2 linked regions of the Caenorhabditis elegans genome follow. The protein of the gene in region 1 purifies or fractionates together with the protein of each later gene. This does not show direct contact. Each region holds a gene or a part of one and is shown on either strand. Other genes may lie near its edges. The genes, in order: cyd-1 and cdk-4.

The links.
Region 2: the proteins of cyd-1 (region 1) and cdk-4 purify together in Caenorhabditis elegans (affinity purification with western blotting, with the first as the bait; one study listed by BioGRID). This does not show direct contact.

Annotation. Positions count from the first base shown.
Region 1 is NC_003280.10:12,977,476-12,993,765, forward strand, and holds cyd-1 (G1/S-specific cyclin-D), read left to right. Parts: upstream 1-10,747; coding exon 10,748-10,861; intron 10,862-11,155; coding exon 11,156-11,485; intron 11,486-11,597; coding exon 11,598-11,859; intron 11,860-11,990; exon of another isoform or gene 11,991-12,174; intron 12,175-14,515; coding exon 14,516-14,652; intron 14,653-14,704; coding exon 14,705-15,079; 3' UTR 15,080-15,642; downstream 15,643-16,290. Other genes in the region: ptr-18 (Patched-related protein 18), read left to right, coding at 146-418. UniProt on the Caenorhabditis elegans protein: In association with cdk-4, regulates the progression through the G1 phase of the cell cycle during postembryonic development. Regulates proliferation of the coelomocyte lineage and intestinal cells during late embryogenesis.
Region 2 is NC_003284.9:13,510,618-13,525,135, reverse strand, and holds cdk-4 (Cyclin-dependent kinase 4 homolog), read left to right. Parts: upstream 1-6,224; 5' UTR 6,225-6,231; coding exon 6,232-6,357; intron 6,358-7,784; coding exon 7,785-7,847; intron 7,848-7,907; coding exon 7,908-8,327; intron 8,328-8,559; coding exon 8,560-8,720; intron 8,721-8,826; coding exon 8,827-9,085; 3' UTR 9,086-9,280; downstream 9,281-14,518. Other genes in the region: pab-2 (Polyadenylate-binding protein), read left to right, coding at 42-354, 402-1,164, 1,214-1,462, 1,509-1,931; F18H3.1 (SPRY domain-containing protein 7), read right to left, coding at 3,736-3,852, 4,040-4,123, 4,346-4,500, 4,572-4,688, 5,335-5,473; col-185 (Nematode cuticle collagen N-terminal domain-containing protein), read left to right, coding at 14,067-14,234, 14,277-14,518. UniProt on the Caenorhabditis elegans protein: Serine/threonine-protein kinase which, in association with cyclin D-like protein cyd-1, is required for the progression through the G1 phase of the cell cycle during postembryonic development by phosphorylating and inhibiting lin-35 and fzr-1.

The sequences.
Region 1 (16,290 bases):
TCCGATTTGCCGAATTTGTCGACAAAACGGTTTGCCGAACGGCAATTTCCGCCCACCTCAAGCTTCCTTGCAAAAACTGTAAACTACAAAATTCTAAAGGGATCCCAAAGTTCCAAACAACGAAAAAATCTCAAAAAATTTCCAGGTCTTCGTGAAAGTCGTCGTGTTGGTAATCTTCCTAGGAATGTTCCATGGTCTTGTCGTGCTCCCGATCGTCTTCTCAGCCCTCCCATTCACAAAAACATCAGGTCCGCAAAAGAAAAAGGTAGCTCCGTTGCAAATGCACGAAGCTGGTCCGATTCCAAAGAAGGAAGAGCCAAAAGTTATCAAAGTGAACGGAGAAGAAGATGAAGAAGACGAGAAAACAACAAAAGAGGAACCAGTTGAAAAATCCGTTCGGAGCGCTGAGCGGGCTTAACTTTTTTGTTTTCCGTAATTTTTTATTTATTTTTTAAATTTTTTTCCCCCAAACTCCCAGTTTTCAGAACTCTCCCGTTGAAATTCACGTTCCATACCGTTTTTTTTTGCCTGTTTTCCCCTCCCAAGTGCTCCAATCGATAGTTTTACGGGTTCTTCTGATCCACTTTCAAAAGCTAGATGTTTTGTTAGTGATTGATTCAAATGTGCTATATGTTTTTTTTTATTACTACGCCTAGAATTTTTTTGATATTGAGAATAAATTATTTTTTATAAATTAGGTTTGTGTCGGGGGTGTGCGGCAAATCTCAAAATTTGCCGAGAGCGGCGAATTCGGCAAATTTGTCGAGCTTAACAACCGGCAAAATTGGCAAATTTGGCCAATTTGCCGCACACCCCTGGTTTGCATGAATAGAAAAAATAAAAATAATCCCCTCTGACAATACTTTTAAAACGTAAAATATACAAAGGTTTGGCACCTACATATAATTGCTGTAGAACATGTGGCAGAGAGCCTACATGCCTGCATGCCTACATGCCTACATGCCTACATGCCTACAAGGCTACATGCCTTCATGCCTACATGCATACATGCCTAAATGCCTACATGCCTACATGCCTACATGCCTATATGCCTGCATGCCTGCATGCCTGCATGCCTACATGCCAACAGGCCTTTTTTTTGTGAAATTTAGAGAACATTAGCTTACTCCCCAATTTCCCACATCTTGCCAATGCTTCACGGGTCCTCAAGAAGGCTTAGCGCATATCGGCAAATCTCAAAGGACACCTGTTACATATTATAATGATATCCCACTTGCCTCAATCCATCGATCCATTACATCCCTTGTCTTGTAAACCTGTCTCGTTCTCCTTCTCCATATATTCTCAATTATTTCCCTTCTCCTCTCTTTTCTGATGACGCAACACAATGAGCTAGGAGAACCACACGACGAGGTTAACGAGGTGCGGTCCCCTTTTTGAGGGCACTGTTTTTATTACGGGCATACACACAGGGCTATGTATTGCGCTGTTTCGTAATTTTATTGACTGACAATTGTATTGACCCGGACACACCCTTTGAGATAAGGATCATTATGGAAATTTGGGATGTAAGCGTGCAAAATTGCAGATTTTCCAGGGTAATCCTACAGTAACCTCGTCAAGTATCTACAACAAGTACTGCACACAACTTGATAGGCAAACATTGTGCATTTAGTTTGAATTTTTAAATCCGCTCTGTTCTCAAAGCCTACCCCATGCCTACCTGCCTACAAACTTACCTATCGTCTATTTTTATTGTTTGGCTTCAGGCACGCGTGTAGGCACAGGGCAGGTGTAGGCAACCTTAAAGGTATTCAGTCGTATTGAGGCCTACGTAAAAGGTATTAGAACTTAGCTTAAATGTTTAATACTATGATAGTACACACAATTTTAGTAAACTACTGAAAGTAAAGCTTCCATTCAGGGGTGTGTGGCAAATTTGCCCAACTTGCCGAATTTGCCAAGCGCTGCAAATTTCAAAAGTGTAGACTTGTCGAATCGGCCGATCTCGGCAAATTTGCCGAATTCGCCGTACTCAGTATAAAAAAAGTCGATTTGCCGAAAAAATTACAAAATTTGCTGCACACCCCTGCTTCCATTGCATAAAGGCACATCTTCGTGCCTACCTTATGTCTTCCTGCTTAACGAGCTTACCTATTGCCAAGTTTATGTCTTTTGGTTCAGGCGAAGGTCCCCTTGTAGGTTTTCAGGCAGGCATATGTCACATCGAATGTATTCAGGCAGGTATAGGTTTCTTTGAAAATTTTCAGGCAGGCATAGGTTGACTTTGAGGTGTTCAGTTAGGCAAAGAACACCTCAAAGGTATTCAGGCAGGCATTGATTACTTTGAAAAATTTCAGGCAGGCACAGGTCACCTTGAAGGTACTCAGGCAGGTAGGTAGAGGCTGACATTTTTTACTTACAAATAAAACGCTTCAGTACCGACTGAACCATTACAAATCTCCTAGTCAGAAGTCTATTAAGACTTGAAATTTGTAAAATTACAGTAACCCTATAAGAACTTACCTAACCTCTGAAATTCTCTACCGTTCTCAACTTTCCAAAAACCCTCTCTTGCTACAGTAACCACTATCTTACGGTAGCACAGCTTGATCTACCCTACTGGAGCAGTTTTGAATATTAATTTTTTCTTTTCTATTGTCAACACCTAGGTGGCCACTGTTCCGCAATTTTATGGTCCATTATTGGGTAGGATCAAAGCGTAGTCATATTCCTACACACCTTTGAAGGTTTTATTATCCGATTGACAGTAAAGATAAGGAAATCATTTTGAAACGTTTTGCATAATGATCGTTTTTGCAACCTAACTTTGCAAATCAAGCTGGAATTCCTTTTTCCTTATCACCTGGAATATCAAATATCATTGTCTGGAACAATCAACTGATAAGAGCACTTGAAGCGTCAATAAACTAACTATGTTCGGCGTTCTTGTTCTTCTTATCACCTATTGATAAGGATAAAATAAATAAACAGAACACCTGTGAAGAGAATTCAATTAAAAAAATAACACAACGAGCCGCGTGTTCAGACTGATAAGGAGCCGGTGACTGGAACCAATTCACTTTGCGGGAAATAATGCGTGCTTTGAAGACAAGATAGTTGATAACAAAAGTGTCCCCTTTGGTAACAGGTTGTGCCAGTTTTCAATGCCACTGATAGGGACGGTATGAGGTGGTTTCTCCATACCTTTGCATTTTTACAAACATCGAAACATCGAAACGATCCGCTACCGTGAAATTTACATGGAGACACTTGATTGATGGATATTTCGGAGAATTGAGGTAAGAGGGTTTTTCACAATTTAGCATCTTGTTTATCTTGTAAATCTACGCTGAATTAGGTTGTCAGAGATTTCACTTCAAGTTGTCAGTGCGCATAGGTTACAAAATTTTATATATTTTATACCGTAATCTTCCTAGTTGAAGATCAAAACAACAAAAATCCATATATGTACCTGCAAATCAACCTACGCCTGCCTCGTGCCTACACGCGCACCTATGATTTTTTGACGGTTACCAAATATAAGCTTAAGCAGCTCTTTTTTTACAAAGTTTTCGTGACCAGACCTTCAATTTAAACTGGCAAGCTTTGATTAATTAATGTTTTTTTTAAAGTTTCAGTCATTTCCACATTTTCCAGCACACACATTTCCAATTTGAAACGAGTAAAATTGGCGGGAAACAGAGGAAGTCATACATTTTATACGGGATTTTTAGATTAAGATCATCGCAAAGTTTTCGGGGAAAAATCGGGAAAAAATCATCATAGCCTTGAGAAAATCAAATTGAAATGTGTGAAATTGCAAACATTTGGAAATTATAGAACAGAATAAACTAAAAAACTCGATAAAAGTTCCGATATTAAACTTATAAAGCTCTACTGAAAAAATCCCTCTTGTTTCAAACTCAATATATAGCAATAGTTTAACTATAGGCCTGCTCAGTAGGTACAAAAAAGCAGGCTCGCCACGTGCCTACACGCCTACCTCAAGCCCAAAGCCTACCTATAGCTTACCTAATTATTTTCTTAGTTTTGTATTTTCTTTTCAAATATTAATTGAACTGCATAAGCCTATTCTATTCCAGAAGCAAATATCTGAGTTCAATCCTAAATACAGAAAATAGGCGCGTAGGCCGGCAGGCAAAAAGTAGGTACGTAGGCATATAAATGAGCCTATCGACCTATAAAGATCTAGGAAAAGCTTCTAAAAAAATTCTCGAGTAAAGCCAGTTTCGAGAAATCTTGAAAATAAAACTGACCATTTTATTATGAGCAATTCAGCCTCTATTTATAAATTTTTACAGAATTTTGTTCTGAACACCAAAATCTGTTTAGAGGCGCACACTAGGTCTCACCACGAATCAAGTTAAAATTTCGAAAAACTATAATCCTGCAATCAAGGTGACGTAGCTTTTCTAAAATTTCAAAATGGGAAAAATTCCCACAAATTTACAAAATTCTCACATGTTTCCCAATAATTTCCCCAATACAAGCTGAATAGTACAGTTCTTTATCAACTAGTAGCATTAACCAAACTCTCACATATGATCACTGGCGCCGCCAATAACTCCGGACGGCGGAAATTCCGCGTAGTTACCCTTGCTGGCGCCTACAGACGTCTCTCAACTAATTACCATTGCAAAAGATAAACATGTTCATCATTTCCAGAGATAACCATCACCATCACTGTATGTGTATGTCCTCACACAGTCAACTCCTCACAGCAAAAAAGATTGGAATCTTGAAAATCGGTGAGTATCTAGTCTCGAGGTGTCAATCACCGGACACACTAATTGCCAAGGATTTCCCCATAGTTTTCTACACTTTTTTCTTTGTTTTCAAAAAACAATCCTCTATACATATTTGCACGCTATACAATTATGGTATGTTTATTGTGCCATTTTGGAGCCCAAAATGTCACAAGGGCGCCCAGCTTGACCTATCGGTTTGTAAACTGATAAGAATTGTGTTGAGATTGTGATTGAGAGAGTTGACCAATGCAATCTTACGATTGTTTGAGTGCGGAGGCAGGAGAAAAAATTTGTGGGAAAGTGGGGAAAGGTCGTGAGAATAAATAACTGTACATTTATTGAACAAAAAACTATTCAAATTTCTGAAAAACTGTCCATGATACCTTGATAACGTTGAAAAAAAAGAGCAGCCGACAAAAACCTGTTTTTGCAAAGTCTCATTTGTCTACGGCAACTCTCCCAATCATGCACCGTGATGGGAATACTGTAAGACTACGCGTGGTGCCAGGCTGCCCCATAACGGTTTGATCTACAAAAAATGCGCGAATTTTTTGCCCAAAAAAAAGTGACGTCAGAACGTTCTTAACCATGCAAAATCAGTTAAGAACTCTGCGTCTCTTCTCCCGCATTTTTTGTAGATCTACGTGTGGTTTAGTTGGTACCAGGATTTCCACAAGGGCCCGAGTTACGCCTCGGAGGGTGGAATTTCTAGTTGCTCCAACACGCTCCATCTCCAAATGCTTCCGTTCACCCCCACCCCCCCCCCCCCCACTATTTCCCTTATCACTAGTGATCCTTATCAATTTCCATTCAATCATAATTTCAAAGCCTCGATTATCATCATCAACCACCTCGTGGTCTCCTCGTATTCTCTTTGAACTCGGCGGTCGACCCCAGTGACGTGTTTTTTCAGTACCCCAGTCGGTACCGGCACAAGGTTGACACGAGAAAGTTTGCCCTTTTTGGAACAAAAAACTTCTCTGGCTTTTTTTCACTTTTTCTCACCTATTCTGACATCACTCATATAAAAGTTGAAAAAAACGACGAAGAACAGAGGAGAAGACGGCAAACATTACCGGTGATAACGTTCCCTTTTGTGCACTTTTTTAGCCGACTGACTGGTATGTATGAACTGGCTAAAAGTGCAGGCCTGATCTCATCGAGCTGTGGAATGGGATTTGAATTTGCCTGGCACGAACCAATTGAGCAGCTTATTGAGATGACATTGAGATGACAGGAGCACCATTTCCGATAAAGACCATAGTCCTGAATAGCTAAATAATTAAATATTTTGGAAATTAGATCAATTTTCAGGTAAATAGTTGATACCGTAACTTTAAGAATTCGATTTCAAAAACTTTGAATATTTTTCAAATTTCAAAGTTTCCGGACTATATTGAAAACTAATTGGGCAAAAATTCAGAAAGGTTAGAAACTTGAACATTTTAGAAGTATGAAAGCTGGGGTTCAGCGCAGGCACAAACATGCCTACCCGCCTGACTGCGGTCTAACCTATATTGGAGGATGCCTAGGCCTATTTTACCATTGATAATTTTTTTCAAAGGCCTACGGGCCTTGTAAGCCTTGTAGACACGTAGGTTTTTTTGAATTGAAAATTGAAAAACAATACACAACAAATTGAAAACTAGATCTTGAAATTTAAAGAAATACTGGTGAAAAGATCTCCTGGCTTTATTTTTAAAAAACAACGAATTAGGCAACATTTCTGAAAATTTGGAAACTTGAACACCTTAGAAAAATCAAACGCCTACCTGCAGGTCTAACTCATATTGGAGGAGACCTAGGCCTGGTTTACAATTGCAATTTTCGTAAGCCTACAGGCCACCTTCTAGGCAGGTAGGCTATTTTGAACTAACAAATGGAAATCTGTTAGTTGAAAGTTAATAGGGATTAAATTTTTGGAATACATTCTTCTTGAAATAAAATTATATAAGAGATTCTAGATTTCAATACAAACTCCAAAAGTAAACGCTTTCTGAAGTTTTTTTTTTTTAATTTCAGGCATCAGGCATCATTTCAGGCAAAATTGTGGCAAAATTTTTGATTTTAGCTGAAAATGAGCCCGCCATCACTTTTTTTGAGAAATTAACAAAACGTCTCATAACAAAATTCGGCAGTTTTGGCTCATTTTGGGTCTAAAAAGCAAAGTTTTAGATTTCGGTACTCCACCGCAAGGCGAGTGGCGCGACAACAAGATCCCCTCAAACAATTTCAAAAAAAAAAGTTTCAAAAAGTCTAGAGCATCATTATTTAAACCTGAATTTAATTCTACCTGGCACGACAAATCATCATCTCCGAGGGGCGCCGAAAACCGAACGACCTTCCATCATCATCACCTCCGTTCATCATTTCAGTCATACGCGTAGGTAAATGTGATTTTGTTTCTTCCAATTCAATCACGGAGGTCGAACAACACAAGAGGCCACACGCGATCCCCAGATTCGGGTGACAAATGTTGCGTAATTTACATGGAAAAAGTGCATGAGAGGGGGGGTCCGACCTCCCAATGCGCGAACGATTCTTTGTCTCTGAATTTTTTTCGGTTTTTTTTCTAAAAGGCATCGCTTCTTTTTTATCTAATTATTTGCCGTGTCGAAACACAATCACCACACAAAAAGGAAAAGCCATCTGTCAGCAGTTGGGGCACGATTCCCGCATAGTAGGAACGATGCGCACAGGCAGATAATATTAATGAGAGGAGGAGACGTTTGAATTCCCCTACAGAAGAATGACAGTTGGTTTGGCACATTGTTGAGTCCAAAAGTGGGTGCCATAATGAGCTCAAGAAGCCGAATAATGGAGAGACAGATGTTTTCGGAGAGATTTTAAAGGAGATCAAACAGTACTTTCCGGTCCAAAAATTGACTGGTAACAGTTGGCTTAAGAGCTTTTTGACCTGGCCGCAAATTTTATAGTTTTTAGTTTGGAAGTTTTGAAGTTTTGAAATTCAATAGAATTTGAAATTCGACTTTCTTACAGTTTGATTGAAAAAAAATGCGGGAATTTTATGTCCAAAAAATGTGACGATGCAAAATCTGTTGAGAATGCGTCTCAACTCTCTCATTTTTTTTCTAGATCTACGTAGATCAAACCGAAATGGGACACTCTGACACTAAATCCTTTGTTCTTTCAAGTTGAAAAAGTTTGATCTACTCAAAAATGAAGGACTCCGGTAGATCAAAAAGTGGTGGAAAAATTTTAGTGGAAATCGATATTTAATGTGTCTATTTTACTATTACATATTTTTCTAGCTATCTTTTCAATTTTTTGGTTTGCAACGGTTTGTTATGCGAGTTCAAATTTTTCCAAAAATTTTATTTTAGGCAGAAAAACAGTTTCTTGCCTTGCACTTGTACCTACGTCTTCTTTGATATGCCTGCCTTGTGCCTACGCCTTCTTTATGCCTATACTTGTTTTGGGTCGAAACTTACGTCTACCTTGCCTGTATATCTGGCAAAAATATGGGCCTACCTATCCATAAAACATTGATTTTTGCTAGAAGAATCCCATGCAAACCAAAATTATTTTGATATTCAAACTTCCCCGTTCACCTTTTTCATAATTACCGCAACCCAAATATCAGATAATAACTCTTAAATAATTATCCTATCACGCAATGCTCATAATTTCAACATGCCCCCAACTACGCAATAGTACACACACATATTGTAATATGGATATTGTTGCATACATATCTAGATATATATGTATATACTCAATTCACCTACGTCATCTTGAGCACCTGTTGCTCGACCTGCTGTCGGCTCGTGGGTGGCCTGTAGATCCGCCAAATCGTTTCTACCACCCTCCCGTTGTTTTCTATTTGTCCTACTGGAATTGACCTCTTCTTACGCAATGTGAGTTCTCCCGCTCTACGTCATCAGAGCACGCCAATTGCCCCATTCAACAACTACACACACCTATCTCAATCAGATCTTTCACACTCTCTTGTTCAAATATACGACTGGAAAGGTCACACTTTTCACTTGTCCATCATCAGATTAGTGTCGCATTAGAGGGGGAGATGGTGCGCGAAAACTGATAGCTGAGCCCTGCTATGATAGTCCCTTATTTGCCTGTGGGAATGTTAGGGGAGTCAAATGAAATATAAGAAGATGTTTGGAAGAAGAAGAAGAAGGTCAGCCAGATATGGGCAGCTGGCCGAACACCTGGTAGTACGTGTGGGATGGCGCATCCCAATCTCTTTTACTACCATAATTTTCTCAACTTTCACTTTTTCTACTTTTCTAAGATTACTTGAGTGTTAACCTTCCATATCCACCTCTCCCCGTTCCCTGCTCCGTCTGATTTGTTGCTTGTCCGGTACAATTTATGAGTTTGGGAACCCACCACTGTGTTCAATGGGTGGCTCCCAAAACAATAGGCCAAATGTCGTGTGTGTGGTTTAGTGTTTGGATGAACTTTTTAAAGGTGGTGGGGGAGAAATAAAGATACAAAAAAATATATATATATGCTGCCATGGGAGACAAATTTTTGAATTTGAAGGGTAGCGTAGATGTTTAGAAAATGTCAAAAATTTCAGTCCAAGACGAACTTCAAAATTATAGTAGGTCAAAAAATCACTTTTTGACTGTAAAAAAAATTACAAAAGACATTTTAGCCTTGACAATAAATAACATAATTTCTTATTATTTTTCCAGTAAAAGAGCCCCCGTAAGAAAAAATCCTATATATTAACATTAATAGGCGCTTTCAGGTGTAGCGTAGATGTTTAGAAAAGGCCCGAATTTCACATAGATTTTTGGACACTTTAAAGGAGATTTGGCCCTTAATATAGTTTTGGTAGTCTAAAACTACCTAATATATGATAAAACAGTCTGGATTTATTTTAAGATTTTTCAAAATTTTCAGTCTAAATTTTGGCAAAAAAAAACCAAATATATATGGACTTTTTCAGTAATTTCGAGCATTTCTACAAGTTTTCATCCCTATAATATATGAATACAAAAAATTAAAGCCTGTCAAAAAACTGTGAAAACCCACTTTTTAACTGTAAAAAAATTATAAAGGGTATTTTAACACTGACGATAACTAACGTCATTTCTAAATACTTTTCTAGTAAAAGAGCATCATAAGAAAAAATCCAAAATGCTCAAAGTATTTTAGGTGATTTTAGAGCATATCACAAAACTTGAAGTTTCTGCTGTATACTTGGAAAGGCTAGAAGATGCGTAATTTTCTCTGTTTTTCAAAATTTGATTTTTGTTGATTTTTGGAAAGTTAGAAGCCTATTTAGATAACTATCAAAATTTTATTGATTTTTAAATTTCAATTAGTTTTAACACTTTTTTTTTAAACATATTACCCAAAAATGTTAATCATTCTGAACGTTTTTATTTTTTTTTGCCTTATTGACACCCTTTACCTGTCTAGACAGGAAAAGCTGCTAGTACCCTCCGTGTCTCCCGTTAACCTTGGAACTTTGCCAAACCGGAAGAGTGTAGTGATTTTGACACCTTTCTTTGTCAAGGACGTAATTATCGATCCGCAGTTTGTTTTTTTTTCGTGGTCCATAACTGTGCACCAATCAATATTTTAACACCTTATGACCCCCGCCAACCTCTTCCCAATATTGCAATTTGCCGACTGCTGACCCAGTATCCCGCTGTCTTTGGGTCATCTGCCAGCTCGTCGTCGTTCAGTCAGCAACATCAGCGCAGAAGTATTTTTCTTCATTCTCAAAAATCCCAAAACCCCCCGTCTTCATCATCATCACCTTCATTCCTTCATGTGCCTGGGGGAGACGGCTGGCCCTGGGGGGAGGTGGGGGAGAGGGTGCGCAAAAACTGGGCGGAGTCCCTGGCAGTCACCCGCCTCCGGTCACTCGACTGTCATTGCGAGTCAAGGTGCCGTACCTTGACTTACTTTTTTTTCTTGCTTTCTCTCTCCACTTGACAATTTTCTCAAATTCACTAACTTTTTGAGATTTAATAATAAGCATTAATAATAAATTCCTGAAGTTCCATTTCCAGATGGACTTTGAGTCGTCGTCGGCTGGTCCGAGCACATCTTACGCAGAGGAGCCATGCACATTATCGATGCTTCCTCAAGTTTCAGCAGTTTTGTCGGAAACATCTATTACCGAGGTAACATTTTTTTTTCTGGTGTTTAAGTTGTGTGTGTGTCGCAGTAGGAGACTTGTCCTTCTCTATTTTTTTTTGGTAGATTTTTTTCGGCAAAATTTTGACACCTTTTTCGTCGCCCACTCTTTTTCTCTCCCTCACGCTTAATTTCTAATTTTCCTCCAAGTGAAAAAAGATAAGAATCTTCTTTTCGAAAATCTCGACCACTTCATCTATTCAACATGTATGTACATAATTATTGATTTTCAATTTTAAATTTTAAAGTACAATTTTAAAATACAATTTTCAATTTTCCAGTCAAATGTGAGCTGTCAATTACACCCATCTCGATCGGCTGCTCTGAACGATAATGTCCGAACACTGATTTATAACCGTACGGATCCTCATATTCAACTCGACATGCGAGCCTTCTATAACTGTATGGAGTACGAGGAGGCGCTACAGCCCAACTATCACTACTTCACCGGCGTTCAGGAGAACATCACGCCGTTTCATCGAGAGCAGGCGATCGATTGGATTTACGACGTGGCAAAGGAGGAGAATTGTGATGGCGACGTCTTCTTGTTGGCTGTTTCGCTGATCGATAGGTTTATGTCGGTGCAGAATATTTTGAAGCATGATATTCAGGTGAGTATATTGAGTATGTTTGGAATTTCACCTCTAGTGTTAGAAGTACATAAACTAATCCTCCTGCCTCTCCTCCCATCATATCAACATTTATGAAATCAGACCCGTTCAGATGATCGCCGGAGTCGCGCTGTTTATCGCCAGTAAACTGAAGGCCCCACATCCGATGACCGCGTCGAAGATCGCCTACTACTCGGATAACAGTTGCCCCATCGATATGATTCTTCAGTGGGAGCTGCTCATTGTGACGACACTTCAATGGGAGACCGAGTCGCCGACGGCGTTCTCCTTCTTCGACTTTCTCGCCTCAAGAATCCCACAGATTCACAACATGAGGGGCGACTTTCAGACAGTTGTGCAGAAGTGCCAAAAAAGTGAGTTTTCATTTCTTTCATTCCACCTAGTCCAGTAGTTTTTTTTTTGTTCCTTTCACTCCCCCCCCCCCCCCCTGGTGCCCTGGCGCGTGTCATTTTTCAATCGGAAGGGTGTTCTTTCTCCCGTCTAATCTCTATAAAATCGAAGTCGTTTTTTGGATGATGTTGTGTGTGTGTGCGTCGCGTGTCCCCCATTCTTTTGTACTTATTGCCGGCGGTGGGCCACCCATACAGGGTTCCCGGGGCGAAAAAAGGAAACAGAGACAAGTTTTTTTGATGGGTGGTCGTAGGACTGTGCGGTAGGGTCGGGCGAGCGACACCGTTGCATTTACATAATGTGGTGGAAGGGACAAGAAAAATGAGATTTACTAGGATATTTTTGGCCGGGATGAGGGGAGAAAAATAGCTTCTAGAAAAGAAGGAAGAAGCCTGTTTTTTTTGCACTTTCCATATTGATTCATCATTACCAGCCTAATTTAGCCTAATCCACCTCCACCTAAGCCAAATCAAACAAACAAGTTTCTTCTTTCCAGCACAGCAGGTGGGCTAGTGGGCCAGTCTTTGTCTAATGAGCTTAAGTCCTATCTCCCCAAGGGAAAGTGTCCTACCTATCGAAAAAAGTTCATCTTAGACCGAATTGAATTGAGGAAAATTTCGGAATTAGCCTATGCAAACAGTCCAAAAGTTGTTAGTTGTTAGTTTTTGCGTACGGCTCATTGGTCATTTGACACGCGCTGACCTAGGTTTTAGCGCCTTTGTTAAGGCTTCCCACCCCCCAACTACAGATATAAGATACCAAAAAGTAAGTGAGTCAGTACCAGGTACACAAAATTTTGTGCGTCCTCTTTGTTCTCAAGCCGTCCTCCTCTGTGGTGACACACTGAGACGCTAAAAAATGACTGTGTGTGTGCGCGTGTGTGTGTGTGGGGTAGTACAATTTTGCAATTACTCTTAAGAACATCTGGGTGAATATCTGAATTAGAAGAATATGGCTGTAAATAGTGACATGACAGCCCAGGTGGCCCGGGTTCAATTATAGATAGCTATCTCCCGGGCGGCATGGCTTGGGGGGTGAAATTAGTGGGCTCTTAGGGAAACCGTTTAACTGTTGCGGATCACTTGACACCCGAAACAATTAGAAGGCGACTCCCCTTAAACACATGTCGCTTTAATCCCGGCGGTTGAAGTGACTTCAAAGAATAGGCTCTACAGTAGGCAATACCTTTTTCAAAATGCCCTTGTACCTATTGCCCAATGTTTATTTGAACAAAACTTCCGATCGGCATCGCCTTTGGCAACTTGATAGCGTGATGGAATGCTCTGATCGATCATCTCGCAGTGTTTGCCCCCCCCCCCCCCCCCCCCATATCCTTCTGCCTTAATGGATGTTCAGTTATCCAAACGGATTAGGAAAGTTGTGTCCACCTGGCGCGTGCCTACCCGTTGATTTATACATTTGGAAGATTTGGGCTAGATTATGAAAGAATACCGTGTGTGTGTGTTTGTAGGTATGTATGTATGGGGGTGAAAAGGAGTGAAATCTGCGCTTCTTGATTTACGATGACGAGCCCCCGTGATGTTGTGCCTGTTGTTGCGCGGCCCTCACACACAAAGAAAAGTTATGTCGCAATCTGCTCTTCCAAGACACCACCGATGACAAGGGATGTATATCATCTACATTAATGTTATGACAGTATGGGAAGGGTCATCTCTCTGGGGCAACTGATGACATTTGAATTTGAAATTTGAATGGAGATCATCGTATAATAATGAATGTTTCATCAGCCAAGGCCTAATTGATTGACAGTGCCCCCGTAGTGGAATTTGAAAAGGAGCAGCTGAAGAAGGAGTCATCAATCGTTGGACATCCGTTTGACCGATATATAAATTCATTCGCGGTCGATTACTTTTTTATTGGGATTACGGAAGCGTGTGCCATCCTCATTGAGGAGGATGAGATGCTTCCCAGATTTTCAAATATCTTTACATCATCACCATCATCATCATCGTCTACCAGCTGTCATTTCGGGCGGTCTATTCAATTATGCAACATGACCGCGCGATCCTACACATACTGTCAACAGGTGCTCGAGGCTTAAAAGGAGCATAGCCTAATTGCGCATGTTTGAATGGGCTTCTGGTGATTTTTTTGACGCAAGGCATTGTGAAGAACGTGTGATGTCACAAGCGGTTTGGAGAGTCGGTTTTGAAAAAGGAGTGTGAAATTACATGAAAATAGCACGACGACCTTCCTCTACAGTAGGCAAAGTTTATGTTAGCACAAGATAAGCGTTTTACCTCTCTCTCTCTCTCGGCAGCCAGCCCGTTTCAATTTCAAAATTTTTGGCGCGTCAGACCCCTGGAAGATATGTATGAAGGTGTGAAAACGCGCACTTTGAGGCAGAGAGAGTTCCACTGATGTTTCAGACGCCCAGACACTTAGAGACTTGTTCGTAGATAATCATCTATGTCCTCCACAGCCACCCTCTTCGATTTTTCTTAATGATTGAAATCGAAACCTTGAGGCGCGAGCGAGCGAATGATTGGCAGAGGGAACAGTGATGAATGGGCCAAGGGGGGAGAAAAGATTGAACTTAAATTTTGGAATTTTGGAATTTTAATGATAAAATCAATAATATGAATATTGGTTTTTCAGTGCACAAACTTGCCACCTTATTCCCATCCATGCAATGTGCAATTGGCCTCTACTACGTATCGAATCTCCCAACACAGAATAAGGAGCTGGCAGTAAAGATCAAGGATCTCTTGGCAAACATGTTCCAGTTGGAAGTGGTTAGTGAAAAAAAAATCAGCACTTATAATTTCTTATCTAAACCTTTTCCAGAACCTTCTCGACTCGTACATCCCGATGGTGCAGCGTTGCATGAGCACAACGCCAATCTACACATCAGAAGATGCTGAGAAGACGGAACCGACACCATCCGCGCCGGCCTCCACTCAAGAGCCAGAGGCCTTCCAAGAGCTCAAGGAGCTCAAGGAAGAACCCCTCCCAACTCCACCACCAGAGGAACCTGCCTTCCAGAAGCTTGTGCTCCTCGAGCCGATCCCCCTCTCCGAGCAAACTCCATCAACTCCCCTCAACGACTCGGGCTTCTCGTCTGATGTCTCCAGCCCCGCATCCTCAGAGAAGAAGCGTCGTCGGAGCACAGACTGGTTTGAGGAGGACTCGACGCCGCCGAAGATCTTCAAGACTTTATGAACATTTGTTACCCATTATTTTATGCATTGTTTAGCTTCTATGTCGATTCGAAACCAAATCCCAAAAAATCTCAAAACACATCCAGTCTTCCATTTTCTATGTAGCTTTTGCATTATTTCCTAAACTTTAATTTTTAAACCGGTGTTCCCAACAAATCTTCCAGTTTATTATTCTTATTATTCTGAAAAAAATAATATATATATATATTAAAACATTTATTCTAAGTTATTTCCACCTCCCTCCCCCTCTCCGAGAGTTCGGATGTGCTCGAACCTTTTGTTGGATTTTCCTATGAAATTCCAACTGCTTCCTGGTTCTTGTCACATCCACGACTTCGTTTGTGATTAGTCAAATCCTGCCCAAGCCTCCTCCCAAAAATTAATCATTTCTATACTAGAATTCCCACTTGCTTCTTTCATCTTTTTTCCAGATCCCTCTTGCTCAATTCGCTTCCTACACCCAATTCTGATGACCATTGAAATTACTTGTATTGTACAAAAATTCTCGCTGTTTCGATGATTACTTTTTTCTATTTGTGAAATAATAAAGATTCCCCACAACCACCAAACATATATTTCACTATTTACCCGGAATCACCATATGACGTTGTTTGACCCTTCGAGGTTGTGACGTCACACAGACCCCCACTTCTAGAGTTGCGTCAAACTGCAAGCTCGTGAAGCGAGCACTTATTCAAATCTTGACCATAAGCGCAACATACATTATTAGCATCTGTTGATGACGTTGAGCTTGCGCTAGTAGAAGATCAGAGATATGTGAAGCAGGTGGACGGGCCCCTTTTTTTATAAAACAGTGCAAAAAAATTTGTTTCTTGTGACGAAATTGAATTTTTTCCAGCAAATCGGCAATTTCTGTAATAATAGACAAAAAGCAAAGTTATCTAAAATCTCCAAATTGTGCTTGAAAATCGGAAAACCGCTTAGTTTTCATCTGGAACTTGTCTAGAACTGGAGAAACACGTGGCGTCAGTGTGTCCCATGTCGGTTTGATCTACGTAATTGCGGGAATTTAGACGTAGACTTCTGAACTGGATTTGCATGGCTAAGAGCGTGATGACGTCACATTTTTCTGGGTTAAAAATTCCCGCATTTTTGTAGATCAAAACGTGATGGGACAGCCTGGAGAAAGTTTTTCTTACAAGCCAGAACACCTACAATTAAAAATTGCCAATCTGTTATAGATTTTCAAAT
Region 2 (14,518 bases), on another chromosome or scaffold:
TTTATTTCAATTTATCACATGGAATATAATAATTCTTACAGCCGAGCGCGCCTTGGACACTATGAACTTCGAAGTCATCCACGGACGTCCAATGCGTATCATGTGGTCCCAACGTGACCCTGCTGCTCGCCGTGCCGGAAATGGAAACATCTTCATTAAGAACTTGGATCGTGTCATTGACAACAAGTCCGTCTACGACACTTTCTCGCTTTTTGGAAACATTTTGTCTTGCAAAGTTGCCACCGACGATGAAGGAAACAGCAAAGGATACGGATTTGTTCACTTCGAGACTGAGCACTCTGCGCAAACTGCCATTGAGAAAGTCAATGGAATGCTTCTTTCTGATAAGAAAGTGTAAGTTTACCCTATTGAGTTGCAAGTTTAATCGTTTAAATTTTCAGCTATGTCGGAAAATTCCAACCTCGCGCACAACGCATGAAGGAGCTTGGAGAGAGTGGCCTCAAGTACACCAACGTCTTCGTCAAGAACTTCGGCGAGCATCTCGACCAGGAAAAGCTTTCCGCAATGTTCTCCAAGTTTGGAGAGATTACTAGTGCCGTAGTGATGACCGATGCGCAAGGCAAACCAAAAGGTTTTGGATTTGTCGCTTTTGCTGATCAGGATGCCGCTGGTCAAGCTGTTGAAAAACTCAACGACAGCATTTTGGAAGGAACTGACTGCAAGCTTTCAGTCTGCAGAGCTCAAAAGAAGTCTGAGCGTTCTGCAGAGCTCAAGAGAAAGTACGAAGCTTTGAAGCAAGAGCGTGTCCAGCGTTATCAAGGAGTAAACTTGTACGTCAAGAACATTGAGGAAGATCTCAACGATGATGGTCTTCGTGATCACTTTTCTTCCTTCGGAACAATCACTTCTGCTAAAGTTATGGTTGATGAGAACGGAAGATCGAAGGGATTCGGTTTCGTGTGCTTTGAGAAGCCAGAAGAGGCAACCGCTGCCGTCACTGATATGAACTCCAAAATGATTGGAGCCAAGCCACTGTATGTGGCCCTTGCTCAACGCAAGGAGGATCGTCGTGCTCAGTTGGCATCTCAGTACATGCAAAGACTTGCAACTCTTCGCATGGGACAGCAGGCCAGCGGAGTTCCAGCAATGACTCAGCTCTACCAGCCAGGACAACAAGGATACTTTGTTCCAAATCCAATGAATGTACGTTTCTACAAAGTTAATTCAAATGTCTTAATTTCTTAATTTACAGGCTCAAGGGCGTCCAGGATTCCAGCCACAATCTGCTCAAATTCGCGGACCACCAGGACAACGCGTGTTCCAAAACCAGATGTTCATGCAATATCCATTCAATCAGCGCCAAGTTTACCCACAACAACAGGGACGTCCACCAATGCGAACCAACGATGGTCGTCCACAATATGGAATGGCTCCAAGACCAGCCGGAGCACCACGTGTCGGAGGACCTGGAGTGCAGATGGGAGGGGCACCTATTCGTCAAGTAAGCTTTAATCCAGATAAAATGAATACTACTCTCTATTTTTCAGCAAGGACCAGCCCCACGCGGAGCACCACAGAAGCCGTTCTACCAAGGACCACCACGCCAGCAACAACCACAACAGCACTCCCAGCAACCAGCACAACAGCCAGGACAACAAGGACAAGGACAATCCGGAATCGTTATTCACGGACAGGAGACTCTTACCTCCCATATGCTTGCTCAAGCTGCTCCACAAGAGCAAAAGCAACTTCTCGGAGAGCGTATCTATGCTCTTATCGAGAAGATGTTCCCGAACCACAAGGAGGCCGGCAAAATCACTGGAATGATGCTGGAGATTGACAACGCCGAGTTGATCATGATGCTCCAAGACGCTGAGTTGTTCAGAAGCAAGGTCGAGGAAGCCTTTGGAGTGCTCACCAATGCTCAGAGTGCTGCTGCTTCTACTTCTGCTCCAACTGCTAAAAACTAAGCTCTCTAACTTCATCTTGCATGCCAAGGTCGTAATATTCTCTGATATTCAGAGCAAAAATTGTTGGCTATACTTTTTGGTACTGAAAGCAGTATTCATTCTGCATTTCATAATTTCTCATCCAATTTTTTTACCTTCCCATTTCCTATTGTACTTTCTTCAAATAATCTTACAAAAAACCCCAAAAAAATTTAAAAATCTGGAGAAAAAATTAAAAAAAAAGGAAAAAAATTCAAAAAATTCAAAAAAATGCTTCTATTTTTCTTTATTTCAATTTCACATTTCTTGCTTGGTATTTAAAATTGTCTTGAACTGCGTTGAAGCTGATTTCTTTAACGAATGTGTATAGTTTCATCTGAAAATCCCTAAAAAAAAATATTTTTTCTTTTCTGGTCCTCTCTCTTGTCTCACTTCAATCCAATTCAACATTTATGTGTACTTTGTTACTTTCTCCAGAATTTCGGTGTTTTTTTTTTTTTCATCAAAAACTTGGAAACCTAGAGATTGCAACTAATTTTTAACATGGTAATTTGTTCGGCCTTGTAATGTACTCCGAAGCCCAAGCTCAGAACAAATCGTCTCACCCCCGCCAGCCAGCAATTTCATTGAAATTAGATGCTTCTTTCTGAATGCTTTGATATTTCTGTGCAACAATGTGCAACTTTGTCATTTCCCGCCTAATAATATGCTCTTTGTGTTAATAAGTATATTCCCACTTATATAAGTTATTGCAACTCTCACCCCTCCCCATCCTCCCATAAAACCTAAAATTTTTCTTTTGTACCCCAATTTGTACCCACATAACAATTGATACATCCATTCTGTGGTTTTTCCGATATCCCAACATCTTATCGTTTTCCCCAGAATTTTTCTAATTATCATTATAATAATTTTGTTGTAAACTTTTTGAATTAAATAATGATAAATGTATCTATAAAAGGAACTCATCTGTTCTATTTTCAAAATTACTTTCAAAATGCGGAGAAACACTCAATAATGGTGACCTGATATTTAATAACAACAGGATTACTTGAATATAACAAAACATAATGCGGCATCAAAAATCAATTTTCTTCAATTTGATCAATTTGCAAAAAATCTGAACAAGTTCTTACCTCTGAACTCTGAACTTTGAAAATGAATATCTGACTTAAAATGAACTTTTTGAAAATGTTTCTTCGGGGACTTGTTTCAAATTTTAAGCGCTTTCAGAATTTAATAACAAAATTTTTCCAGGTGCCAGAAGTTTTAGGTTCAATCCAGAAAACTGAATTTGAGCCATATAAATGACCGCATTTGTTTATTAGGAGATTTATTTAGTTTGTGTAACTTTGAAAATTAATATCTGACTTAAAATGAACTTTTTTGAAAATGTTTCTTCGGGGACTTGTTTCAAATTCTAAGCGCTTTCAGAATTTAATAACAAAATTTTTCCAGGTGCCAGAAGTTTTCAGTTCAATCAAAAAAACTGATTTTCAGGATCAATTTTAAAGTTATGAAATGTAAGTAAATATGAAAACAAATAATCGGTTATATTGCATCTAAAAAAGTGCGGTCAGCCACATGCCTAAAATTTCAGATTTTCTGTTTGAACTGAAAGTTTGTATTAAGTTAGTATTTTTTACTCTCCATCACGGAAATTGTAACTTACAATTTTGAAGTGTTAATTTCAATACTATTTGATAATAATAAGAACATATTTGTTTAGATTAAATTAAGGAGTTTCAATGAAATTCAAAATCATTATTGACAAGTCACAAGAGCGAAGGAAATCACGGTCAATGGTTTTAAAATCAGGCAAGATTTATAGAATAGTTTGTTCCACGAGAATTTCTCCGAATCCCGCTGGTGGAGCTTCCGTGAAGTTTTTGAATTTGAGATCGAGAATTGCTGAGTCGTCAACATACACCATAGGGTAAACCTGAAAATGATAACAATTTCAATAAAAAAATTGATTAGGAAAATTGTGGTTTGTGTCCAAATGGTTGCATTCCAAGCCAGGGATCATATTAAAAAGTTGAGCGCAACGAATGAATATTGAATCTTAATCTTATTAGGCACTGTTCCTAAGTGATTTCTTAATCCCTTCAAATAATCTCTTGGCATACCGGGCCTCGAACTCCAGTTATCACATCTTCCACTGCTTTTCCGTTTACATAGAACTTGAGCTCCACGTGGTCATATGCAACACCCTGAAAGGTTGAGTTTTTAACAGATTTACTTGGTAACAAATAGTTTAATACTTTTGTTTTTTTTTCTTTAAACTTCAAATTATATTTGAGTATTTGCAATCGTTACTTGAAATTGTATCACATTATTTGTATTCCATTGTAAGACATGTTAAGCTTTAAAAAAAACTAGCAATTTGTTTTGAAAGTACGAAATAATTCCATTTTTCTGCTTATAAAACGCACCACAACATCTCCTTCCTCCACAGTTTTTGTCATTTTTGCCACGACCTCATTTTCCTTTGCAATGTCTCCATTATCTCTGATTCCCCAAAACTTTTCAGTGCATGGGACTTTGTCGAATGGTGATTGCTTTTGTCCTAAGCCTATTCCCCATGTTCCTGAAAATAAGACATTTGTACTTTTTTAATTTCATTTGAGGAAACACTAGTTTTGAAAAACAAAAACTCACCGGTTTGTTGAACTGTCACTTGGAAATATGCTTTGTTTTGCACAATTGGAACAGTTGCAATCGCTCCTCCAATACCGCAAATTCGTTCTCCTTCTTTGAGAATAACTACATTTTTACCTATAAAAAGTTTAAAGTTCTTTTTTTTTTGCTTTTTTTTACTACATAGCGTATTTAGTAAAACATACTCATGTTAATGAAACTTTATCTGCTGGATTGTTAAAGGTGGAGTAGAGTCAAAAAATGTTTTGCTTTAAATGGCAGAAAATAGACCCTAGTGACCGAATATGACTGTGAAAAATATTAATAAAAACATTTTTCAATTTTTTATAAATTTTTTCAATTTTTCAAAAGTCAAAAAAAAACGCCAAAATTAAGTTTAAATTTCCGCGCAAATGAGAGACGTCATTTTTGATATTCTCACGTTTTCTGGCTGAATGCTAAAGTTTTTTTTCAAGTTTTTTCTCTGTATTTGGCTCTGTTTGTCAAATTTTCCAACATTTTTCCAAAAAAACCATATATAAAAGAATAATCAAGAAAAATCGACGAAAACGCGAAAATACCAAAAATGAAGTCATTCATTTCATTTTTGAGAAATTGAAAAAATTTTTAACACTTAGTTTTTTTTTTAAATATTTTCATTAGGGTCTATTTTCTGTCATTTAAACGAAAAAAAGTTGACTCTACTACACCTTTAAATATTTGTTTAAAGTGTGAAGATTTTGGAACGTGAACAAGCCAGCCAACTTTAAGTTCAAAACCATACCCATTCTCCCCACATCTAGTCGTACTGTTGGCTGGTAGACTGCGTTAAATCGTGGATACGAGGCATTGTCAAAACTGGAGCCTTCCACACAGTCGAAGCACGGTGCCAAACATGAAAACCAACCACGGATATTGTTCATCTGAAAATTTAGTGCTGGATGGTAAAATATTACACGCGTTTTCAATTAAAAAGAAACAAGGGGGAGTGAAGATGACAATTTTTTACTAATTACAAATATTTGTTATCTGTTGAAAAAAGAGTGTTATGTTTTCAGTTAATACCTAAATTGTTTGTCAAATTGAGTCATTTGTAATCTAGAATGAACAATTACAACTTTAAACTCATAAAAGAAAGTTGCGAAATTCGTATAAAGTATGAAAACATCAAGCAAAAACATGCATGTAGTTCGAGCTCATCACGTTTGTCAATAGAGCGCGTTTAACGCATTCTGTTTTAATGGTGGCAGCGGTGAGAAGAGTCGGAAGGCAAGAGAGCACGCGAGAAGAAGAGATGACAGAGAGCTGACTTGAGATAATGTGCGCTGGTTTATTCCCTTTGTGTCCGCGCTCAGGGGGACACCAGCTGTTGTAGAACCACCGAAGAATTGCCTACCGACAGTCACAGTCCATCTTCTTGCCAAGGTTGCCCTTTCTGTTTCTTTCTCTACCATCCTCCGCTAACCGAGTGCTCTTTACCGGCAGACAGTTTTCGCTGCAGAGGCAGAGGAGACACACCGCTCTACCGTCTGCCAGCAATCTCTTTCTCGTTCGCCCGCCAATAAAATCGGATTTTAAATTTGAATTACATAGATTCTTAACTCTTGCAACATTATTTTTTTTGCCTCCAATACCACGTTAGACACTTTTGAATGTTAATTAAAATTTTTTCAGATCCAAAATGTGCGAGAATCTTTATGGAGAGGAGTACAAAATGGAGATCCTTCGACTCCAAAAAATGATGAATAATATGACTTGCGGACAGATGGCAAAACCCTTGACAATGAAGGATTTTCAAATTCATCAGGTATGATTGGAAAAGATTACAGTTAGAGGACCAAAGAAAACTGGGTCAAGGAAAGTGTGCGGTTTTTGAATATTCAAGGTTGTTGAAAGCGCTTTCTTCGGAAACTTACGCAAGTGCAGTCGCAAAAGTGCAAGAGGATTAGATGAAGATTTTTTTAACTTTCGAAATTTGAAGATAATTCCCAAAGTTTTCACAAGAATAGAAAGTTCGTTGTTTTTTCGATGATAGTGTGAGAAACCTTTTGAAAACCGTTCAGTTTTGAAATGAACAAGTTTTCTAAGTATGTGACTAATTACTCACTTTTTGCAATCCAAACAAACTAATCAAAGTATTAAAATTTGCGTAATAAGAAATTATTTTTGAAAGATAACTATGGTGTGCTCAAAACGTGCTCAAGAAAAATATTTGAAAGTTCCCTGTCTAATTTTTTTTCCTGAAACAAACTTTTGTCTCTACCAAAGATTTTTCGATTCCCTAAAGACGTACACATGTATAAGCTTTTATCAGTGTCGGCATGTAAAAGAGAAACAAATGGCAACATTTCTGCTGAGTTTGCGTGAAAGTCAGTCAACGCCAATGACGAATAAAAAGAATAGAGGGAAGGCGGCAATGAGATTGTTTGCTGCGAAACATTTTTTTTTTGCTTCAAAATAGTTTATTTTGGTTTCAGATTTCTATGGATAAATAAAAAATGAGGTCATAAGTTTCGTATTTCAAATTTGAATCAAAAGATCTAGAGCAAAACAAAAGCCCGCAACATGTGAGAATTTTGAATATTTGAATACATTAGGGAAGGAGTCTGCAGTGAAAAATGAACGTGGCTCTGAATTTTTATAAGGATTAATTTGAGTGATTTGATAGCTATTATTGTTTCTGAATGTAAAATATATCCAAAGTTTGATCCAACTCGATCCAAAATATATTACCCAATTTTTATAGTCGAAACTAATAATTGTTAGGCAAAATTTTGGCAAGAAATTGTCTTCGAATAGAAATTTGCCCTTATTTTTAGTAAAACTGAATAATGACAATCCGACATATACTTGCTATTAGAAAAAAAAGTTTAGAACTGCCATCAGATTTGAAAACTTTTCTGCGAGTTCTGGCAAATTGCCAACATTTAAAAAAAGTGAGCTTTTGAGGAAATCCAAAACAATGCCGCATATTCCGACCCCTACAATGTTTTAATACAAATAATTAAAACAAAATTAAAGAATAAAAAGTGTAGGAGAACAATTTTTTCCGTCGACTTCCAAAATAATCAGCGGCAAAAACCGAGTAATTTTCACTTTTGGACAGTAATTAAAAAATTTTCAAAAAAAATTTTGAAAAGTTTTATCATCAAATTCGGCAATAATGGGACCATAGCAGTGGTGTTTAGCATTTTCCCCACTGGCGCTACTCCATCTTTAACATTTTTATTTCAGGCTCTTGGAAAAGGCGCCTATGGAAATGTGTACCGTGTTCGAAGCCTTCATGATGGAAAAGACGTATGTTTTTGTTTTTACATTATTGCATCTCAATTGAATTATTACATTCGAATTTTTCAGTATGCACTCAAGCAAATCATGATTTCTTCGAAAAACGAGGGAATCCCGCAAAGTGTGCTTCGCGAAATAACAGTGATGAAGCATCTGGCACGAAAAGCTCATCCGAACATCATCTCCTTAAAGTCTGTTTTTCATCAACTTGACCCCGTGAGAGCAATTCTCAAGATAAATATGATAATGGAAAGGTGTGATTGGGATTTGCACACGTTCCTGCGCAATATTCCACGCGGAGTTCCGGAGCAACAAGCAAAACATGTCACTGCACAAATTGTTCGAGCACTGGATTTTCTTCACACACACAGTATCATTCATCGGGATTTGAAGCCTCAGAATATTCTACTCAACAGAGATCAAACCGTGAAATTGGCTGATTTTGGATTGTCAAAAGAGTACTCAAATACAACGGCTTTCACAACATTAGTAAGTTTTTACGCTTAAAACTTGATTTCGAGAAAGCATGTCTATACACTAACTTATTTTTCATACAAATGTCTTTAAAAAAAAGATTTTAAAAAAATTATTGTATGTATAAAGTCGGTTTGTATTCGGTTTTCAAATTAAAATTATAGAACAAACAGTACATTTTTTAAGAGTTTTACCTTTTCTTTTTAAATTTTTAAAAATTAGTTATTTACAAATACGATTGTTTTAGGTTGTCACTCTTTGGTATCGATCACCGGAAGTTCTTCTTCAATCCTACTACAACAGTACAGTTGACATGTGGGCTCTCGGGTGCATTGTATCGGAAATTTACTGCCGACAGCCACTTTTTGTAGGCCAAAACGAGGCTGAGCAGTTGACAGACATTTTCAAGTAAGTTTTACAAGAAAATCTAAAATTTAGTATGTATGTTTAAAAAACCCGTAAGATTGCCTAATTACAGAAAAACTGCAATATTGAACTTATATTAATTGTTCAGGAAAATGGGCACCCCAGTTGGCAAGGATTGGCCGAGTGAATCTGTCATCGCCCGAGACTCATTCCCACAATATCGCCCGACCAACCTCAAGGATCTGAGCCCGCAGATGTCAAAACAGGCAATCGAGTTTGTGCAACAGTGCCTGAGATATGATCATTCGAAGCGACTTTCTGCTCGTGGAGCATTGAGCCATCCGTTCTTGAAGCCTGCGGTGGCAACAAAATCTCGTGTTCTCAAGCAAATCAACTTCAACAAGTGAAACCAGATATTCATTTTTTTTTGTATTTTTCCATTTTGACTTATTCATTTTTTTTTTCAATGTTATGACACTTTCTCCACGTGTATATATCTTTGTGTGCTGCTGCGCTGTTTTATTTTTAGTGTGATCTCTTAAATGTTGTGAATTCCTGACAATGATTCTTTCATATTTTTTTAAAATAAAGTTTTTTAGATACTATATTTTCAAAAAGTAGGAGCCTTGAAAACAATAGAAAAAGAATGAGGTAGTCGGACAGAAATGAAAATCTAAAATAAATTTAAGAAGAAAATCACTAGAAGTTTTTATGTAGAGCATTTTATCAAAATGATGGGCAGCAGATTGTTGACATATCCTTTTCAGTCGTTCCTACTCCGCAAATAGTGATTAAATCCTGATCTGAAAGAGTTATTGGCATTTTTCAAAAAATTTCCAACAGCTCTTATTGATAGATACAATAACAGCGTTTTGAGGAATTGTTCCATATAGATGAACAATTTCAAATTTAATTATGAAATATTAAACTTTTAGAAATAAATTATATGGTCAATTAAATTTGTACACACATGGACTAACAATAACTTACCTTTCAACTTTAAGCAATTTTCAGTGGATGTGCAAAATTTTTGAACTATCCTCACAAGGTTTTTTCCACAATAACGCTTCAAGGGCTCACCAGTTGCAAAGATCAAAACAATGCAAAGAAGCATTAAAATTGCGAACTTCATCTGAAATTATTGTTTTGAACTTGTTTTTAATTTCGTAGTGATATCAACAGCTTTTTATTTTTTGAAACCGTATTCGAATCATCATAAATGTAAAATAGTCAGTATAAACTTGAAAAGTTCTATTATAAAATGTTAGCCAAATTCTAATCTCAATTCGTGTACCTGGAAATAAATTTTTAAATTGATAATACCATTGTTTAAAACCAAATCTCACCTCAATTTTCTGTAGTCGTAGCTACAAGTCGTCAACAAATCCGCAATTTAACTGGGAGAGTTTAACCCGATTTCTCCTAGACATGTGTTCCAGTGGGCGTGTCTTGCAAAATGTTGCAAAGTTTGAAGGTTCCACCTCTGACCCCAATACAAAAACGAAGAGTGGCAATTGGATGTTCATTGAACTGTTAATAGAAATGTGACAGTTTGAGAATTCTGGGTAAAGGTGCACCTGAAATTACGTTCAAAGTTTTAAAATTTATTTTTTTTTTAACTGTTTTATTTAAGTGAATAAGGTACAACCAACAAGCTAGGAACGTAGAGTGTACAGTAATTGTACAGTAATATTTTGTTGGTGTCATGGTTAGTCAAATTTCCATTTTGCAATTGTTTTTCAAATGTTAAGTACAACACGTTTTTCAATAATACATGTATTCTGAGTTCTGGCGAGTCTGTGAATCAATACTTTACACGTCGTTTAAGAGGAACCTACTAGAAGGGATAATTATATAATTTCGCTTATTGTATTTCGGCAAGATTTCAATATCCCTGCGCGATAAAGGTATCTACAAACTTTTAAAAAATAATAAATTTGGGGCAATCTTTTAGTATTTTTCAGAACTTTTCAAAGTTATTTGTTCCCTTTGTTCTATAGCGTATATTTTTTTACTGTTTTTTTTGTCGACTTTGTATTCCGGTTTTCTTTCACCGACAAGTGCTGCTTTTTTTTCTGGAACACTTACACTTGGCCTCTGAGCACAAGGTTCAAAATGATTGGCGTGGGCTCTACGCGAGTTGACATACGACACAGTTGTATCGCTTTTTCTTCAGAGAAATTGCAAAAAAGTGTTGAGGGCTGTCGTGTAAAGCAAAAAAGTTTAACAGATCTGTAAAAAATGTTTTGAACATAAAACAATCAAAAGAGATTGCACGATAAAATTTATTTTCAAAAAGCAAAGGAATGAATTGAAAAAAAAATTCTGGTGTTTGCGTCGTATGTGTTAGTTTTCACAAGTTGTGCATACTGAAATACTCTGAAACACTATGAATCAGCGGTTTTTGGAATTCGGAGCGGCTTCCATGTTTTCATGATCTTCTACAACGTCATTCCATTCCAGAATCGTCACATCGACGAGATTTTTTAAACATGTTCAGAATATTGGCCAGTCCAATTAGGAATTTTATCGTGCTCGATAGCTCAAATAATGTTAAACAATGAATAAAATTAGTGAATCTTCAATGATTTATTGATTGCCGTGGTGTCTGCTGGCTCCATTTTTCAAAATGTATGAGACCAATTCTATTGAGAAACAAGGAATCACTAAATTGCGACGGTGAAACAAAACGCAAAAAAGGAACAGAAAAAAAAACACTACTACGTAGGTATTATTAGGTAGGTATTGTACTTAGGTGGGTAGGCATTGTTTTGATTTAGGGTGCCCAGAAAGAGAAGAAAAGATTTGGTTGGCGCCAGCGGGAGAGTATTGTGTTTGGATCAATCAATTATAAGGTCAATAGTTTTTGAAGAACTGTAGGGTTGTGGTGTATTACTTTAATGCCGTCAGCAAAGCAAGCAACATTTACGATGGGATCTAAATCAATCAATAAATCATTTATAAACATTATAAAAAGGGGCGGCACTGAACATTATAAATAAAAAGAAGGGGACGTTAAAAGTAAATTTATTGATTTGGATAGAGAAAGTTCTGCTGTTGTTAAATTCTTCAAACCATGAACAGGTGAGGTTATCAAGACTAAAACTATTTAGTTTATTAAGGAGGATACCATGAGAAAGTTTATCAAAAGCCTTAGCAAAGTCGAAAGTTAACAGAACGGGAGGAGGACGAGTTTCTAAAATGAAGAAACACATGCTAATAATGGGAAGAGAGATAATGCGGGAAATATGTGGTATGTGCGGATTTGAGAACAGATGACTTGTTCAATAATGCGAGCAAAGGGAACAGTTAAAGATATGGTCTGTAGCCTTCTTGAGGATAGGGATAATGACGTAATGTTTCCAACGAGCGGGAATTTTTTCTTGTTAGTTACAGAGACTGTGCCGTGGAATAATTTACAATTTTTCCAACAATGAGCCAGAAGTTATTATCACTGATTTCGAAATGAGCAACACCGTCATGTACTCGAATTATCTTGAAACAGGAGACCAACCTAAAATTAACTAATCGTATCAAAATAAAACAATTGAATTAAACTAACGCTGGTGTTGATTGTGTCCCTTCGATTACGATAGACTTCTCTAGACTTGTTTTTATTTGCACTGCATTGAAATGTACTAAACGAAAGCTCCTTTCCTGCCATTTCTTGAGTAGGTAGTTCAATTGTCGACTAGTGATATTGATACCTTTCAGGTCAACGGACATGAAATTAAGCAAAAAATCCATAATTTGTTAATTTTATAATTGCATAATTTTATATCGTGTGGTATTGTCACATCAACTCGCAACTGATTCGTCTTAATTTTCAAAAAACTTCGAAAAAGTTTCTTAGGCATTAGTCTTCCGATGAAGTTCACACACACAACACATATTTTCTTACGAAGTAGAATTGAAACAATTCTTTGAACCTGTAGTTCTTTAAAAGAATTACTTATATAAAGTTTAGCATAGACTTCTAAATGCTCGTCAAGACTACAGATTATTTCCAAAACTCGGAAAATATCCTTTCCTTTGTATAGTTTTACGCTGCAATTTTTGCCAAGAATTTCAAAGTGATCCTGACTTGCAATTACATCAATATAAAAAATTTCTGGAAACCAACATTGCCGTTGTTCTATGTATCTTATAGCTTGTTTCACAAAGGAGTTTGTTTTTCTGGGTGACACACGAAGCATGCACCTCCACTCTCTAGTAGTATTGCATCTAAATAGGTATCCGAAAATTAGTATTGCATGCCTTACTAATAGAGGAAATACGGTAACCAAATTAAAGAGAGCGAAGGTGAAACGAGACGCAAACCTTAACAACCCAAAAACACAGTGAAAGAAATGTAAAGGGAGAAACAGAGACATCAAGGGAAGAGTTATATATAACGGAGAGATGTCAGGGAAACATGGCCGAATGGTCTAGTGGTATGATTCTCGCTTTGGGTGCGAGAGGTCCCGGGTTCAATCCCCGGTTCGGCCCATCCTTTTTCAAGTTTTTGACCGGAAAGTATTTGATGATAGTTTTCGCTGCGAACAGATAACATGCAGCATAAATAAAATTATGTTCTCAAACTTATAAAGTTAAATTCATTTATATTGACAAGTATTTACAGTATCACACGTTACTTTATTGGTGCCAAAAAATCAAATATTGTTGTAAATATTTTAAACGAAAACTGAAAATCGGCCAAATATATATAGTTAGTTTTTAAAAATATTATATTCAAATTGTACAATATGTGAACTATCGATCTGTAGCCCTAATTGTTTTACTGAATGAGTTTTTGTGTGCTATTTCTCGAAGGTTTATTAATAAATAACTTAAAAGTATTCTCAATTAAGACGTGTTTTCGTGCAGATTTTAGTTCAACATTCACGAATCCTGAAAATTATGTTTCTGTAGACCTATATGCAAAAGTTATTTCTGACCAACATGCCTAAAAAGTATGTGTATGTTTTCAGTTGATTATTATGTTTTGCCCTGTTCATGTTTTCATAATTGGAAAAATATTTATAGAAACTTTGATAATAAAATCTAATTTCAAAACTTTCATTCATTTCACTAAATTGCACGGAGATATCAGCAAAAATTTTCAAGCCTTGTTCCACATTCATGTTCTGTGATATATTTCCAGATACAATCGTTTCTCTCTTTGTTGGAATCCCATTCCAGAACCATTTCATTTTACAAACACCTAGAACGTCATAAAAGTTGTTTGTTTTTTGCCAAACTATGATATCTCGCAGTCAATCGTTTACTATCTTGATCCAACTACCAGTTCTATACTAGAACAATTTCAATAGTAGAAGCAGTATAAATATGCCCATGGTTTACACGAAGCTCATTCCAGTGGTGTGCTTTGGCATTCTAGAGTTCAAAATGGAGTCTCCAACCGATCTTCGTCTTAAAGCGTACCGTCTAATTGCATACTCGGCTGTCGGATTCTCTGTTACTGCCGCTGTTGCATTGTGTCTGACTTTGCCACTTATTTTCACTTATGTTGAGAATACCAAGGCTCAACTTCATCGCGAGTCTTTGTATTGCAAGGTATAATTCAAAATACTAGTGTTGATTATAAATGAACTTCAGAACTCGGTGCAAGATATGTGGTCTGAAATCAATAGCGACGTGTCAGTGAACAGAACTGCAAGACAGGCTGGATACTCGTCGGGAGGTCCTGATGCTGGAGCAGGAGCCGGAGCTGCAGATGCAGCTGCTGGCGGTGGATGCACTGGATGCTGTAATCCAGGACCACCAGGACCAGGAGGATCTCCAGGAAAGCCAGGAAAGCCAGGAAAGCCAGGAGCACCAGGAGCTCCGGGAGCCGCTGG